Linked DNA regions of Struthio camelus. The protein of the gene in region 1 interacts with the protein of each later gene in a pairwise test. Links are inferred from orthologs where the notes say so. Each region holds a gene or a part of one and is shown in the gene's direction. Other genes may lie near its edges.

What was found.
Region 2: the proteins of COIL (region 1) and PDZ and LIM domain protein 5 interact in binary tests that used the Homo sapiens proteins (3 or more experiments, as listed by UniProt). The two-hybrid records come from large-scale screens. The link is inferred for Struthio camelus from reciprocal best matches to the Homo sapiens genes COIL and PDLIM5.

Annotation. Positions count from the first base shown.
Region 1 is NC_090960.1:5,473,229-5,480,097, forward strand, and holds the start of COIL (coilin), read left to right. Parts: upstream 1-3,854; 5' UTR 3,855-3,917; coding exon 3,918-4,177; intron 4,178-4,379; coding exon 4,380-5,577; intron 5,578-5,906; coding exon 5,907-5,993; intron 5,994-6,869. Other genes in the region: SCPEP1 (retinoid-inducible serine carboxypeptidase), read right to left, coding at 274-346, 484-558, 1,064-1,219, 2,118-2,207, 3,026-3,171, 3,646-3,724. UniProt on the Homo sapiens protein: Component of nuclear coiled bodies, also known as Cajal bodies or CBs, which are involved in the modification and assembly of nucleoplasmic snRNPs.
Region 2 is NC_090945.1:15,049,453-15,056,306, forward strand, and holds the start of PDZ and LIM domain protein 5, read left to right. Parts: upstream 1-3,852; 5' UTR 3,853-3,976; intron 3,977-3,985; exon of another isoform or gene 3,986-4,066; 5' UTR 4,067-4,225; coding exon of another isoform or gene 4,226-4,230; 5' UTR 4,231-4,245; coding exon 4,246-4,294; intron 4,295-4,505; exon of another isoform or gene 4,506-4,520; coding exon of another isoform or gene 4,521-4,534; intron 4,535-4,742; exon of another isoform or gene 4,743-4,867; coding exon of another isoform or gene 4,868-4,869; intron 4,870-5,133; coding exon 5,134-5,302; intron 5,303-5,644; coding exon 5,645-5,686; intron 5,687-5,805; exon of another isoform or gene 5,806-5,916; intron 5,917-6,854. UniProt on the Homo sapiens protein: May play an important role in the heart development by scaffolding PKC to the Z-disk region. May play a role in the regulation of cardiomyocyte expansion. Isoforms lacking the LIM domains may negatively modulate the scaffolding activity of isoform 1.

The DNA of each region.
Region 1 (6,869 bases):
GGGACATTTTGCTACCGCCCCACTTCAGATGCGAGTATGCTCCTCACTGACTTTGTTCTCAGAGCTTTCGTAATCTGGATGTGTTCTAAAGGGAGATCTCTTCAGTCACAGCTTGCAATGTTTAAATATTTCTTTTTGGTGATTTGATTTACCGGGCTCACTAGAGATTTAATTCATGGCTGGCATTTTTTGACTCAGATACTCATGGAACAATTAAAACAAACAAATAAACCAACCACACATACACACACAGTCTGAAGATTTTGAACATACCTAGAGGAGAAATCCACGAGTCTCCAAGAGCAACCCCAACAAAATTGCATTTTATGCTCCCCTTTTGGACAGCCTTGGCACATCAGAGAAAACAAACAAAAAAACAGCTTTTACTTAGATGTCCACGACTCTAGAACTTAGATCTCCTTAAGTACTTGTAGGATACCACATTTTTAAGTGAAAAATGCACTAGATCCTCCAACTACTTACCTCATGCAACTCTAAAGCAACGCCAGCAGCCATTTTCCCTCCATAAGATTCAGAAAATATGTAGAATGGGATGGTCTGGAGAGAGAAGACAATAAACCCATTAGGCCCAGGGCACAACAAACCCCCTCTCCACCCCCTATCCAATGGCCCACAGACCCTGGGCTCTGGCTCTTCGCCTCCCAGAACGAAACACCGAATGTTTTCTGATTCTGACTTGCAAGATGAGATTTCTACAACTTCCTGGTGTAATTACTGGGGAAAGTTTTGAAGCAGGCACTTCAGTATTTTGGAATTAAAAACATCCCTGGTCCTACATGCTCCTCTGATAGCAATGGACACAATAATCCACCCCTTTGCTCATCTAACTGCCTCCCAAGACAGCAATTTGAGATACCACTTTTGAGTTGCGGGAAACAGAGGGCGCTGGTTATACCTGCGGTACCTCCCACCAGCTGTGGGCTACCTAGTAGCAAACAGTGCCCATCTAGAAGGCTGTTCACGCCCTCTTTCTAGCTTTCTTTTGAGATCTGCCTAAAAGCAAAGAAAAATGTGAGACTATCCAAGAATTCAAATCACTTACCTGGAATTCTGTCCTAGACTTGAAGAATTCTCCAAGAAAAACCATCATATCGGAGACTACTGCAGTAAGGTTTTTGGCAAACAAGCTACAGTCATCTACATAACTGAATCCAGTACCCACAGGATTATCCACAAACAGGATACTGGCTGCCTGCAACTGTACAAGCAGAAAGAAGGGTCGCATGAAATCTCAGGTCAGCTACCAGCAGAGCGTAGGTGCAGACTTTGGTTTTGACAGCATAAACGTCTGAGCCATTGACTCTCTGATTATGAAATGACTTGCAGAAAAGTGAAGTGCATGTCTAACATCAGAGAATGGTACGGGGGCACTTTTGTCTGTTAGAATGTGAAGTAAGAAATTAAACAATGAGTTTTTCTTTTGGGTGCTTTTGTCAAATTGCTACAGGAAATGCTTAGTTATACACTTACAAATGTACAAATAAAACCAATATATCAGCACAGAGAGGGCTAACATGGCTCAAAGCAGAAAGAGCTCATAAATAAAGTACAACATAAGATCTTTTGATTTGCCCGGTCTGCGAAAGAAAGGCACCCATCATCCAAAGGCACCCATCACCCAGATGATCCAGAGAAACACAGACTAATACAGGCATTAGACGACTGGTTGTGCAGAGCACGCGAACCTTCTGGTGAATAAACCTCTAACTTCACCGACAGCTGTAATTTGGTGTCCCTTGAAGGCCATACTGGACTCATAGTTGGAAGCCACTGCTTATACGCCCGTAAGCTATGATCTGAAATAACATCTTTCTAGAATTTCCCTATTTTCAGTTTCCCAGCCATTTGCAATTCACAAATTTATGCAAGCCCAGATAGTCTCCGAATCAAATGAATAGGCCTATTCTTCGTTTCTTAGCAAGACTATTTGGATAAGCCATTTTATTGACCACATTATTTCAAGATGAAATATCATAGTTCTACTGAGTTTAAAATTAAAGCTTTTTTGTGGGCATTTTTGCTTAGCAATCACCTGCTTGCCCAAGCAATAAGCATGCCTTTCAGTGAATAATTAGAAGCTGAACTCTTTGCTATACCCAGGTTGTATTTCTTGGTTTCATTTCTTTGTCTAATGGACCAATCTCTTCAAAGTTTCCAAATCCACAGCCTGAAGATCCTGGACCTCCCTAAGGGGGGAAGATAAGAAGTGAGGAATAAGTTAAAAGGCAGCATGGTATGGATATGAGAGACAGGAGAATAAAAGCAAACCAGTAGAATGACATATTTTAAAATAAAAAAATATCTTTTGCACTACATGCTCATTTCCAAAGAAGGCTTTCTTCCTCCTTTTCTTTCATTTTGTGTACACATGCTATTTCTGAAGGCAAAGATGTAAGAGGGAAGCAATGACCCATTTGTGAAAGCATCTAATGAATCACCTTATGCAAGTGCAGTTTGAAAACCGTTCCCCTTATTCCCTTCATAAGGGATGCAGAAGTTAGCTATATGCCAATGGGTGCTAGCTACCGCTTTTAATCAACGTGTACAGCATATGCCTTTCACTCCAAAGGAATAACCCAGAAGGAGAAAGACCAAGTCATTTTCTGATTATATTCAGCATTAACTCCTGAAGTGTACTGCTGGAGGTGAACGTGGAGCACATATCACTGCTTCTTATCACCCGCAATTGAACGAGATCAAGCTCTAAACAATCAGTCTCCCTTACCTGCTTTCATATACCAAAGTTCCTAAATCTCTAATCACTTTATCTACTCTTGTAAGCTCTTGACGCGATAGAAGGTGAGCAGCTGAGGGCCCCCCACAAGCACGGATGGTATTTTCGCTATGCCTCCCTGACCGGAGCACCTCGCTCACTAGTCAGGAGTCACCCAGAGTCAGACGACCCTCAGCGCTACCTCTGCGGAGCTGCAGGAGACCCCTCACGCTGAACCGGGCGCGGAAGAAAAGCGGAACTCGTCGTAAAGCCTCTTCCACCAGACCTCACCTGCAGCCACAAGACGAGAGGCAGCTTTGTGAAGTCCTCGGTGGGGCCGTCGGCGTAGTAGAGCCACCAGAACATGTGGGCCTTGTTTCGCACTTGCACGTAGCCCCACAGCTCCTTGGGCTCTCGGGACTGCTTCCGTACCGCACCTGGAAACCACCAGAGACGGAAGGAAGGAGGGAGCTGGGCACCAGCGGATCAGCTGCCGGCTCGCCCCCAGACGGGCTCCGGAGGCGCGGTAAGTAGAAGCGCGTCCACTGGAAAACGCTACCGCTGGCAGCGCCGCGCGGCCGAGGGGCGGAGGGACATCGCGGCCCCGCCGGGGGGCCGCGGCCGTCCTGTCCCGTCCCGTCGGCCGGGGACGCTTTCGGGCGCTCGGGCAGGGCGGGGCGGCGCTGGCGGCCTCCCGGAAACGCCGCGGGAACCGGGGCTCCCTCCCGGCGACCCCATCTAGCCCGCGCGGACACCGAGTCCTGTCACGGCCCCGAGGAAGCTGCCGCCGCCTCCTCTCTCCCCTCCCCCCCACCCCGGCGGCGGCGGCCTCCGCCAGCGCGGCCGGCTCGGGGGCCCCCAGGGCGACCCCGCCTGAAGAGCCGCGCCCGGAGCCCCGGCCCGGCCCGTACCGGCCACCGGCGGCAGCGGCGGCAGCGCCGCCAGCAGCAGCAGCAGCCGCCCCGCGGCGGTGCGCGGTGGCGGCTCCATCGCGGCGGCGGCTCCCGCTGCCTCACGCGCCGCCGTCACGCGCGCAGCGGAGGGGAGCGCGCGCCCCGCCCGCCGGCCGGCAGGGGGCGCGGCCGCGGCTCCCGCGCCGCCCGCCCCTTTTGTCCCACGCGCGGCGCCGTCTGCCCGCCCTCCCTCCGCTGCCCTTCCTCCTCCTCCTCCTCCTCCCCCTAAGATGGCGGCGGCCGGCGGCGGCGGCGGCGGCCCGGTGCGGCTGCGGCTGCTGTTCGACTACCCGCCGCCGGGCAGCCCGGGCTGCGCGCTGTGCTGGCTGCTGCTGGAGCCCGGCCAGGTGCGCCTCGTCACCGACCTGCTCAGCCTCATCCGCCACCGCTTCGGCTTCAGCCGCCGGGCCCGCCTCAGCCTCTTCCTGGAGGGGGCGCTGCTGCCCCCCACCGAGAGCGCCCGCCTCGTGCGGGACAACGACTCCCTGCGGTACGGCCGGGGGCGAAAAAACCCGAGTGCGGGGGGGGGAATAAAAGGGGGGAGAGGTGCGAGAAAGGGGCCGGGTCCGCCCGGGGCTCCGGCGTGGGACAGCGGCCCCCGTGGCGGAGACCGCGGTGCCCCGGCTCTCGGCTGAAGGCTCCGAGCGCGGCCCGGGTGCTGACCGCGGCCTGTCGGTTTGGCTTTTTGACAGGGTGAAATTGGAAGAGGTGGTGGCAGATGATTCCGAAGAGGTAGACCACGGCTTCTTCTGTACCACAAGGCAAGACAAAAAAAGGCATGGAGAAAAGCTGGAGGAGGAAGGATCGCCTAGAAGCGAAGAAGACAGGCACAAAAGGGAAAAGAAAAGGAATAAACATAGTCCTGAGTATTCCTCTTGTAGGGAAGAAACCTCTGTAAATAGTTGGGACTCTCAAAAAAAGTACAAGAAAAGAAAAAGGAAGGAAGAAATTAGTGGAAGAGAGAGACTCACAGAAGGTAAGGAGGAGAGCTCTACTGACCAATTAAAAAAGCTTAAAAAAGCAGAGAGGGAGAAAGAGTTGGCAACAAAAAGGAAGGATGGAAAGCACACAAAGGCCACTGGAGCAAAGATGGGTTTAGAACAGATGAATGACAGCTTTTCTCTAAATTCTGGTAAAAATAACACCAAAAAAATCACCACACAATCCAGGAACAAGAGGGTAGGACCTTCAGATTCAGATTCCTCCAGCACATCATCTGACACTGACAGCAGCGAAGTAAATGTAAAGCAAAATGAATCTTCCCATAAACCTGTGGTGGCAACGCTTCCCAGAAACGCATCCCAAGTTGCTGCAAATTCTGATGTGAAAACTGTTGTTTCTGGTAAAGTGACTGCAAAGTCTAAAGCTGAAAACTCCACTAAGACTGCAGTTAGTAAAAAATCTAAAAAGGCCGAGTGCTCTAGTTCAGATTCTGACTCAAGCGCAGAGGATGACAAAGTGGCAACAGCACAAAACAGTAGCACAAAGAAAAAGCCATTGCCTAATAATGCAGCCGCTGTAAAAAACAGTACCCCGAAGGCTCCCAAAGCACAGGCCTCTTCTTCAGAGTCTGATAGTTCAGATTCAGAAAAAGTTGTTAAAAAACCCAAAGCAAATGCTGGACCAAGTAATTCTGTAGTAAGAAACAGTGATAAACAGTCGCCAGCCAGCGTTCAAGGAGCATTTCCCAGCCCAGCTCTTGGAAGGGGGCGAGGAACAGGAGATGAAAACTTCTGGAGAGGACCGAGGGGCCGCGGGTTTCGCGGGATGACGAGGGGCCGCGGCCGTGGGAGAGGAGAAAACCAGGGCTTTTTCTATAACTACGAAACTGAAGGCCAGAAACAGAGGCAGTTAAATGAAGCAGTGACAAACACTTCAGTTCTTGTGCAGGTGAGGGACTTACGCACTCGTTAGTCACCTTTCTCTTGCAGTTTGAACTGTACAAAGATGATGTATAAGATGTGCATTGTTATAGAAGCAGAAAGAGATTATAGTCTTTTGATGTAATAAACCTCATAGTTAGAGTATTTCTGTTTAGCAGCCTGAGGAAGTGTTTATGAAGTAATATTTAAATGACTGAATTGTATTTCTTAATACAAAACACTTAAATCTGTACCTTAACCTTCTCAGAATTTCCTCCAGTTCACACAGCACAAACATTGTCTTCTGTTTTTATTAATACAGTAATTACATCAGTAGGTTTACTGTTTCTTTCACAGAATCCTGTGGAGGTCCCCAAGAGAAACTATAGCGTATTACCTCTTCTAGCTGCCCCGCCACAAGTGGGAGAAAGAATTGCCTTTAAGGTAAAGAACTTGTGAACTCTAGAATGTTAGTGGGCTGAAAATCTTTCTTTTGGGCCACTATAAATTTTGCAGGACATGATACAGATAGCAGAGTCCTGACAGCCAAAAGCTTACACTGAGGAGTTTCAGCTTGCCTTGTTGTGGGACTGTTATCCTAGAAATATAAGAATTGGGAATCCGTACAGTGCTCTTTGTCCTAACTATTTGTTCTTTTTTCAAGATTTTGTTTTAAATTTAAGCAGGGCCTTCAGAACCTAAGACTTCTGATCGTGTCTAATGTTTGTAGGCATCTTTGAAATTGTTCACTCCTCTCTTACTGTCTTTCTAATCTAGTAGTTTCCCACGTAATAGAAAATATTACAGTTTCTGTTGTTGGCTTTACAAATATTTTAGCCTGAGATGTCTAGCTTCAATTTTGCTTTGATTTTAGAAGGGTTTTGAGCACACGCATTTAAGTGAAATGCACCGTCTTTGAACTTACTGACTTTGCATAACATAAGCAAAGAAACGTTATCTTCACTTTTGTTTCAGTGGGAATTTCCACATACGTTTGTGCAGTGACTCTCTTCCCTAGCACACAGGTCACTCCCCAGATAACCGAACTTTCCTGGTTGCTCCTTCACAAAACGTCTCTCTCTACCGTCCGCGTTTTTCCAAGGTTTATGTTTAAAAAAGAATGCCCTGAAGAAGCATGTTACCCTTCTCTTTGTTACATATAAGGAAAGTCAGGATTAAAACTAGCTGCTATAAAAAGAAAAAAATTCCCTATGTTGTTATTTTTCCCTAGAGTGTTTCTATGTACGGTTGCAAAATTTGCCTTACAAGTAATTATACTTCACTGCAAAATAAAAAAAAAAAAACAAAGAAAAGTGAAGT
Region 2 (6,854 bases), on another chromosome or scaffold:
AGGGCAGCTTGCGCCTGTGCTTCCCGGGGTTACGCGGCGGCGGCCGCAGCAGGCTCTGCGGGTTGCGGGGCTGCTGCGGGCTTGCAAGCTCTATGAGGCAATACCGAAATATCCCATTCATTCCCAGGGACCGGGGCCTTGGCCCTTGTCCAGCGGCGCCGTAAACTTGTAAAACTGATGGATCGGTTTCCCAAAGGTCTTCATTACCGAGGCTTCTGACTTCTCAGCAACTGGAACGGTCCCCTAAAACGTTCAGAGCATCTAAGACGGTTACAACAAGCTTACGGTGAGCGTTGCCTAGGGGCTCGGGCCCATCTTCTCTTCCCAGCGTTTCCTTGCTCTGTCGTACCCAGCGCAGGACAGTTGGACGTGACTCTCTCGGGGCTGATCTCTGTCAACAGGAAGAAGTCACTTTTGAAAGAAATGTAGTGCCGCGGCTCCCTCAAAGGCAGCAAACACCACTTAGGCACCGTGACAAACGCGTGCGAGTACATCCCAGGTTGGTTTGACAAATCTCGGACTCTGGGGTGAGCTGGCAGCATAAATGCGTGCTTAATTCAGTTTCAAATATAATTCTGGCAAAAAGTGTGAATTCAGCTTTAGGGGACTCTTTTACTTTGTTTCTTTTTTTTTTTTAATGATATAAAATCCAAGGCTGTGCGTACCTCTGGTCTCTCTAGGCTCCTCTGCTTTGCTCTCCCTGTCCCTCCCTGCGGTTCAGGCAACCGATTCCACATTGAAGCCGTCGTCCGTTTTGCTGGTTTGCAGAGCACCGTCCAGACTGCGTAGGTGCGCTGCCTTTGCACATGGCGTGCAGCTACCGTTTTAGCCAAAAAAAAAAAAAAAGGGGTGGGGGGGGGAAGGTTGTTTTTAATGCGTTTCTGATTTGGAAATGTGGAACAGGATTTGAATGTAGTTATAATGGTACGAGTATATCGGTTTGGGGGGTTGGAAGCGTTGCGCGTGCGTGCTTCCGGAGGGTAAAAGCTGCCCCCTTCCCCTTCGGTTTCAGGCAAATAGAGCCGAAGCAGCACGCTGCTCCCCGGCGGCTGTGGCAGTGCCGCTCGAGCCAGGCGTCCTTGGCCATCCCAGAGGGATCCTGCTCTCCACCGACGGCCTTCCCACTGGCCGGACGGGTAGCGCGATGGTTTCCATCGTCCTTGAGTCGGCCACCTCCTTCCAGAGGAGCAGGCGAAAGGTCCGGAAACGTAATTCAGCGGGCGGATGCCCAAACTCCCCCCGGGCGAAGGCTGCCCGTGCGGGAACGGCTGTGACTGGGCTGGTTTTTTTTGGCAGGACAGCCTGCCGATGGCAACGGCTGGGGCCAAAAAAAGAAGAAGAAGAAGGGCACTTTGAAGCACTCGTCAGATGTAAACGTGATGGGGATGGCAGGCTGCAGTACCTCGGACAGGAGAGGCTCAGGCACGGGGACGCTTCCTTGACTCCTGCCGGCTAGAGAGGCAGGATGCTCCCAAGAGCCTCCAGTCCCTTCTGCTCTTCTTAATTTGTGTGTTGCTTTTTGGCCAAAAACGCCGGCCGGGCGCGGGGTTTCGCTCTTCTGCCAGCGACGCACCGAGCTGTGCGACAGCCACCCTTGCAGCGCCAACGAGGCGGCCAGGGTTTTGGCAAACGGCAAGAGGGATATAAATCATGTTAACATGATTCCCACGTGAATATACCGCTGGTGTGTGTAAACGCGCTACAAATTCTTAAAATGTATAAATATCAGCTTCTCTGGGTGTGTTTTTTTTTTTCCCCTCCATTCCCCTTTGTCAGAAAGGATTAGAGGTATTTTATTTACTGTGGGAATAGCTTTAAGTTGCTCTAGTGTTTTTTATGGGCAGCAGCTAAAAATAAGACCTTTTTGACATGTTCTCAGATCTTATTACGCACACGGTTGGATTCAGCATTTTCCGGAGAAATACAGCTTTAGAGGCGCTTGCAAAGGCCTAGCGAGGCTTCTCTACGTGCTGGGTTTTTTTCTACTGATTTACCTAAACAGTTATAAAATCCAGTTGAATTAAATCAGTGCAATATGCCAACTATTTTTTTTTTAATCGATGCTGGTATGAATAATAATAATTTTGTGGCAGCACCAGCATCCGTCCAGCCCGGTGCGGGGGCTGCTCCCTCCCTCGCTAAGGCAATATGTTACACGGACAATTAGAGGCGAAGCTGCATCTCCTCTCCCATGACGTTAATTAATATAAATAAGCGCGAGGATGGCTCCGAGGGTTTTGGTGTTTACCTGCCCGGCCCTACAGAACTGGTGGTCGTGGCGGTGCGTCGCGCGCAGCTTGAAGACGACACTCGGCAGTTCCTCCCTCTGCAAGAGGTGGACCGTAACTAAACCTCCCCAGACCCCAGATTTCTGCCCAAACCATTCCCGGGTGCTCGGGGGAAGGACACTGAAGCAAGCGGCTCGCTTCAGCAGCTGGGAGGGTGGCTGTGGTGTAGGAGAGCGAAGGGGGTAAGTCAGCCCGGGGCAGGGTGACCCAGCGGTTCACGGCTACTCGGGAGCTTGGCAGGACCTGCTGGAAGGCTTTATCCGACGTGGATGTGGCTTCTCGTGTCCCCTAAAATTAAAAGATTTACTAGTTGTTTTACGGGTTTGGTTGGGAGGGCAAGCGCTTGTCCCGCGCCTGCCGGCGTTATCGTGTGGCTACGAACGTTTCGTCCGAAACGCTCAGCCTGCTGAAGTCGAGGCAGGTTCCCGCGACGGCAGCGCGGCCCTTTGCCCCGAGAAGGGGGCAACGGAGCAGGTGGAAGTAGCTGAGGGGCCCGGGTGAAGGACCAGGCTTTAAACGGCCTGTTCGGCCGAGTCGCTGCGATGGAGGCAAGCCGTAACCCGCGCGCGGTGCCCTCGTTTACAAAATTCATCAGAATTTTGGGGGACGTAATAAATAAAGGATGCTGCAGCAGTAAATGCTACTTTTCCTTTAGAAAGGAATGCATTACTCAAGAAAAATCAAAAAAAAAGATGAAGAAGAAATCGAGCTGGAAAGAAGACAATAAATCTCTTTATAACCTGAAGAGCTCTAAGGTCGCTAGCTCCCTACAGTGGGAAGAGCCACGCTGTTAACGTCTTAATTTAATGAACGCCACTAGCTTAAAAACCGGAATGGCCACCGACATCGCGAGCGAACTGCACGCAGCCGAGGCCTGAGGCTGCAGAAATTAGAAACAGCAATGCAAGAAAACGTGTGTGCTGGAAAAAAGGTGTTGATGAGAAGTGAAGATGCTGGCATGCCAGAGGTATCTTTCCAAACCAGGGGCAGGAAAAAGCAAAAGCAAAGTGCTTCTGCGACACCGGTTCTAAGCAGGTTAGGATTCAGCGTGACTCGAGAAAAAAAATTTGCCGTGCGTCGCTGTCAAAAGCTTATTTCGGCCTCTGTTTCTGAGAAACGCTTGGAACACGTCGAATTTTTTCCACTGTTTGGCCAGAGAATTATCTCGGAGCTGGTAACAGCCCGTTAGGCCACAGACAAATATTCACGTTAACCGCTCTAAAGAGCAGCTTACTTAACGCTGAACTCTGGCCGCGCGCTAGCTGGAAGCGCTTGCCTTGACCTCACCCCTAGGAGAAAAGCAAAAATGCAGGTAGCCGTGCGGTGCAACTACGGCTTGGAGATCGGTGTCTGGGCGCGCAGGAAGCCACTGCCTGGCTCAGCTACTGTCTGATCAGGAATTATGTTATTGTGCATTGTTAAGCTGGTCGTAATTTATGGGCTGTTTTTCCTACGGCTTTTTGTATTCCACAGCCGCCGGTGGTTTTCCCTCTGTGTCCGGGTTGGTTGTGGCGTGCCCGTTATCTGGCACCCAGGGCACGTCGTTAGCCTTCAAACAGGACTTAAGCGCCGAAGTACCGTGGAGATGTGCTGTACCTGCAAGGCTAGCTGACTGCTGCGTTTGATTAGTTCCCAGACTTCCTCCTTCCGCGTTCAGGAGGAAAAATGCAAGCGCCGTCTAAAATACGGTCCGGGCAGGAAGAAGAGGGCGGTTGCAGTTCTTCTGGCTGACGCTGAGGTTTTTCCTCACCTTGCTATCTTTTTATGTCGTTTTCCAGCCCCAAGGGGAAGCTGTCTCCGAGAGGAGAGAGGCATTTGAAAAGCGACCAAGAACAGAGGGATCTCCAGCTAACGAGCTGTCTCTAATTTCTGCGCCCGGGCTCTGGAGGCTGCGTTTCTCCAGCGGGAAACGGATCTGTATTTGCCTCAAATTGCTCATGCTGTAGGTTGGGTGGTGATGACTGACGGCCTCGAGCGGGGAGTCGCATCGGCTGGGGGGGCAGCGGGTAGGTACGGAGCACGGGGGCAAAGCGCCTCCCGTGTCGCCGCAGCCTGTCGCCACTGCTGACTTTGCTGCGGCGCCTACCGGCAAAAGTCCCTCTGCAGCTTTTCCTTTAATCCTGACCAATTAAAGCAGCGCAGACTTGCAGGCATTAACTCGAGCGAGCTGTTCCTCTGCTGAGAAAAGCTGAAGGCTTTTGGCAAACTGGAAGCAGAAAAGGCTATATAAATATGCGTGTGTGTGTGTGTGTATCTATATATATATATATATATGTATATATATGCATGCATTTATATATATGTATGTATATATTTATGTATTTTATTAACGTGGCTAGCTGGTATGCTAGCGTGCGTGCCGCAGACAGGACGGCAGAGCGGGGCACCGGGAGCAGGTTTCTACCCCACCGGTCGGCGCAGGGACGCGCCGACCTTGGAGGCGTCACGTGAGCCGTGCCGGGGAGTGGGATCCTGGAGCTTTCTGTAATAACCGAAACAGCACGGGAGTGACCTCAGGCCCTTGTGACACAATGAAAAATCACTGCGGTGGGGAATTTTTACCTCCATGAATTGAAGTCATGTGAGAGAGCCTGGCTGTGTAACGGGGGTTTTCAGTTTTGCCTGATTAGAGATACTTAACAGGAAAAGAGCGGAGTGAAAGACAGGACGGGTTCCCGAAGGGCGCGTTAGCCTGGGTTTTATACGGTTTTATTTTTCTGAGAGGCGTTTAGCGTAGTCGCGGGGCAGAGCCCGGCGTGCCGAGGGGGCCGGGGGCGGCGGAGGGCTTCGTGCGCCTTGGCGGGCGGTAGGTGGGCGTTCACCCTTGCCCCCTCTGCACTTTCAGCTCAGCACACCCCGAGTCGGAGGGAGGGCTTGCAATTTACTCACGGCCACTTCATACCTATTTGTTCTTGCGCCAGCACCGTCTTTTGGCTTAAACGACTCCTGGGCCTCGCTGGCCTTGGCCGCCTGGACGTTACGTCCCTGTCAGTCCTGGTGTTAGTCTGCCTTAGGTACGCCAAGCTCGCCCTTTTTTTCTTCCCCTGAGGCAGGTCCCCGCTCTGCCAGGAGCTCGCCCCTGCGGCTGCAGAGACGGGCTGGGTGGGCTGCGCTCTGCACCTCCGCGTGTGTTTGTGCAGCGGGGTATGTTGTGCCCCTGGGTGTATTTGTGCATTGTGCAGCGGGGTATATTGCACCCCCGGGGTGTACCCCCCTCGTCCCCCCAAGGCAAAAGTGGGCCTCAATTTCCGAGGCAGCCTGGGGGTGGGCGGCAGGGGCCCTGGGCCCCCCCTTGCCCAGCAGAGCCGCAGCACAGCACGGAGAGCCCTTCCCTCTCCCCTCCCGTGCCTTTGCAGGTGCGCTTTTTGGGGTCGGAAGAGGAGAGCGAGAAGAAAAAGGTGAGTGTGCGTTTCCGCCTTTTAAAAAAAAAAAAAAAAAAAAGGAAAGAAATAAATTAAAATGGGGCCGGGCTGGGCCGGGCCGGGCCGGGCCGGGCCGGGGGAGGAGCGGCGGGGGCAGAGCGGGGGGAGGCGGAAGTGCCGACAAGAGCGGCGGCACCGCGCCGCCGCCCCGCAGACCGGCCGCGCGTGTCCCCGCCGCTCCGCTCCGCTCCGCGCCGCTCCGCGGGGTGAGTGTCCCCGGGGGGGGGGGGAACCGCGAGCGGCTCGCCTGGGCTCTTTTAATTCATCTCTCTCTTTTTTTTTTTTTTATTATTATTATTATTTTGCGTGTGTGTTTGCATGCTCGTTTTCCGCAGGGGCGCGGCGTCCCAGGCCCGGCGCGGCGGTGAGGGGCACCCGCGGTGGGGGGGGTGGTGGTGGTGGTGGGTGCGCTTTAGGTTAAAACGCGCCTGCAGTGCCGTGCTGACGCCGGCGGGTCAAGGAGAGGAGAGGGGCGACGCGGGGTGATTCCCCCCCCCCCAGCCCCACAAAAGAAAAAAAAAATCTATACTTAATTAAAACGCTGTTTTTTTAGAAGGAGTTTGGTGCGCGGGACAAATTCGCCGCGGTCCTGGTTTTAGCGGTGATCTCGGGCTGTGGCCTCGGTGGGGCTGGGAGGGGAGAGGAGCGGCATCAGCTATAGCAGCCCCCCCGGGTCGCCTGCTTGAAAGGGCTGTTTTGTCGTAGCGTGAGCGGGGCTGCTGAGTTGCCCGTTTGGCTTAGAAACGAGCCGCAACGGGCAGCTCTCTTTTCGGGGGTGGTGGTGGTGGGGGGGGGGGGGTGTCCGGAGAGGCACGTCGCTGACTGCTTCCTCAGTAGGCGCCTTGAAAGGGAGATGGGGAGCCTGCCTGCTCCGCCGTCCCAGAAGCAGCGGTGCCTGCAAAATGAAAAAAAAAAAATAAAAATAAATCCCCACCTCGCCCCGCGGTGCGGGAATAGGTAAAAACTGAGCTGCGCAGCGCTCGGTGGCGTTGGCAGCGGGCGCGCTTCTGCGGCCCGGCAGCTCCACCTTAAATGTCACGCCGGCAGCGTGGCATCTCCCTGGGCCCCGGTGTAGCCTTACACCAGCGGCGCCCCGCGCTTCAGCCGTACAAAAATAGAAGGTGCCCGCTACCTAAGATGTCAT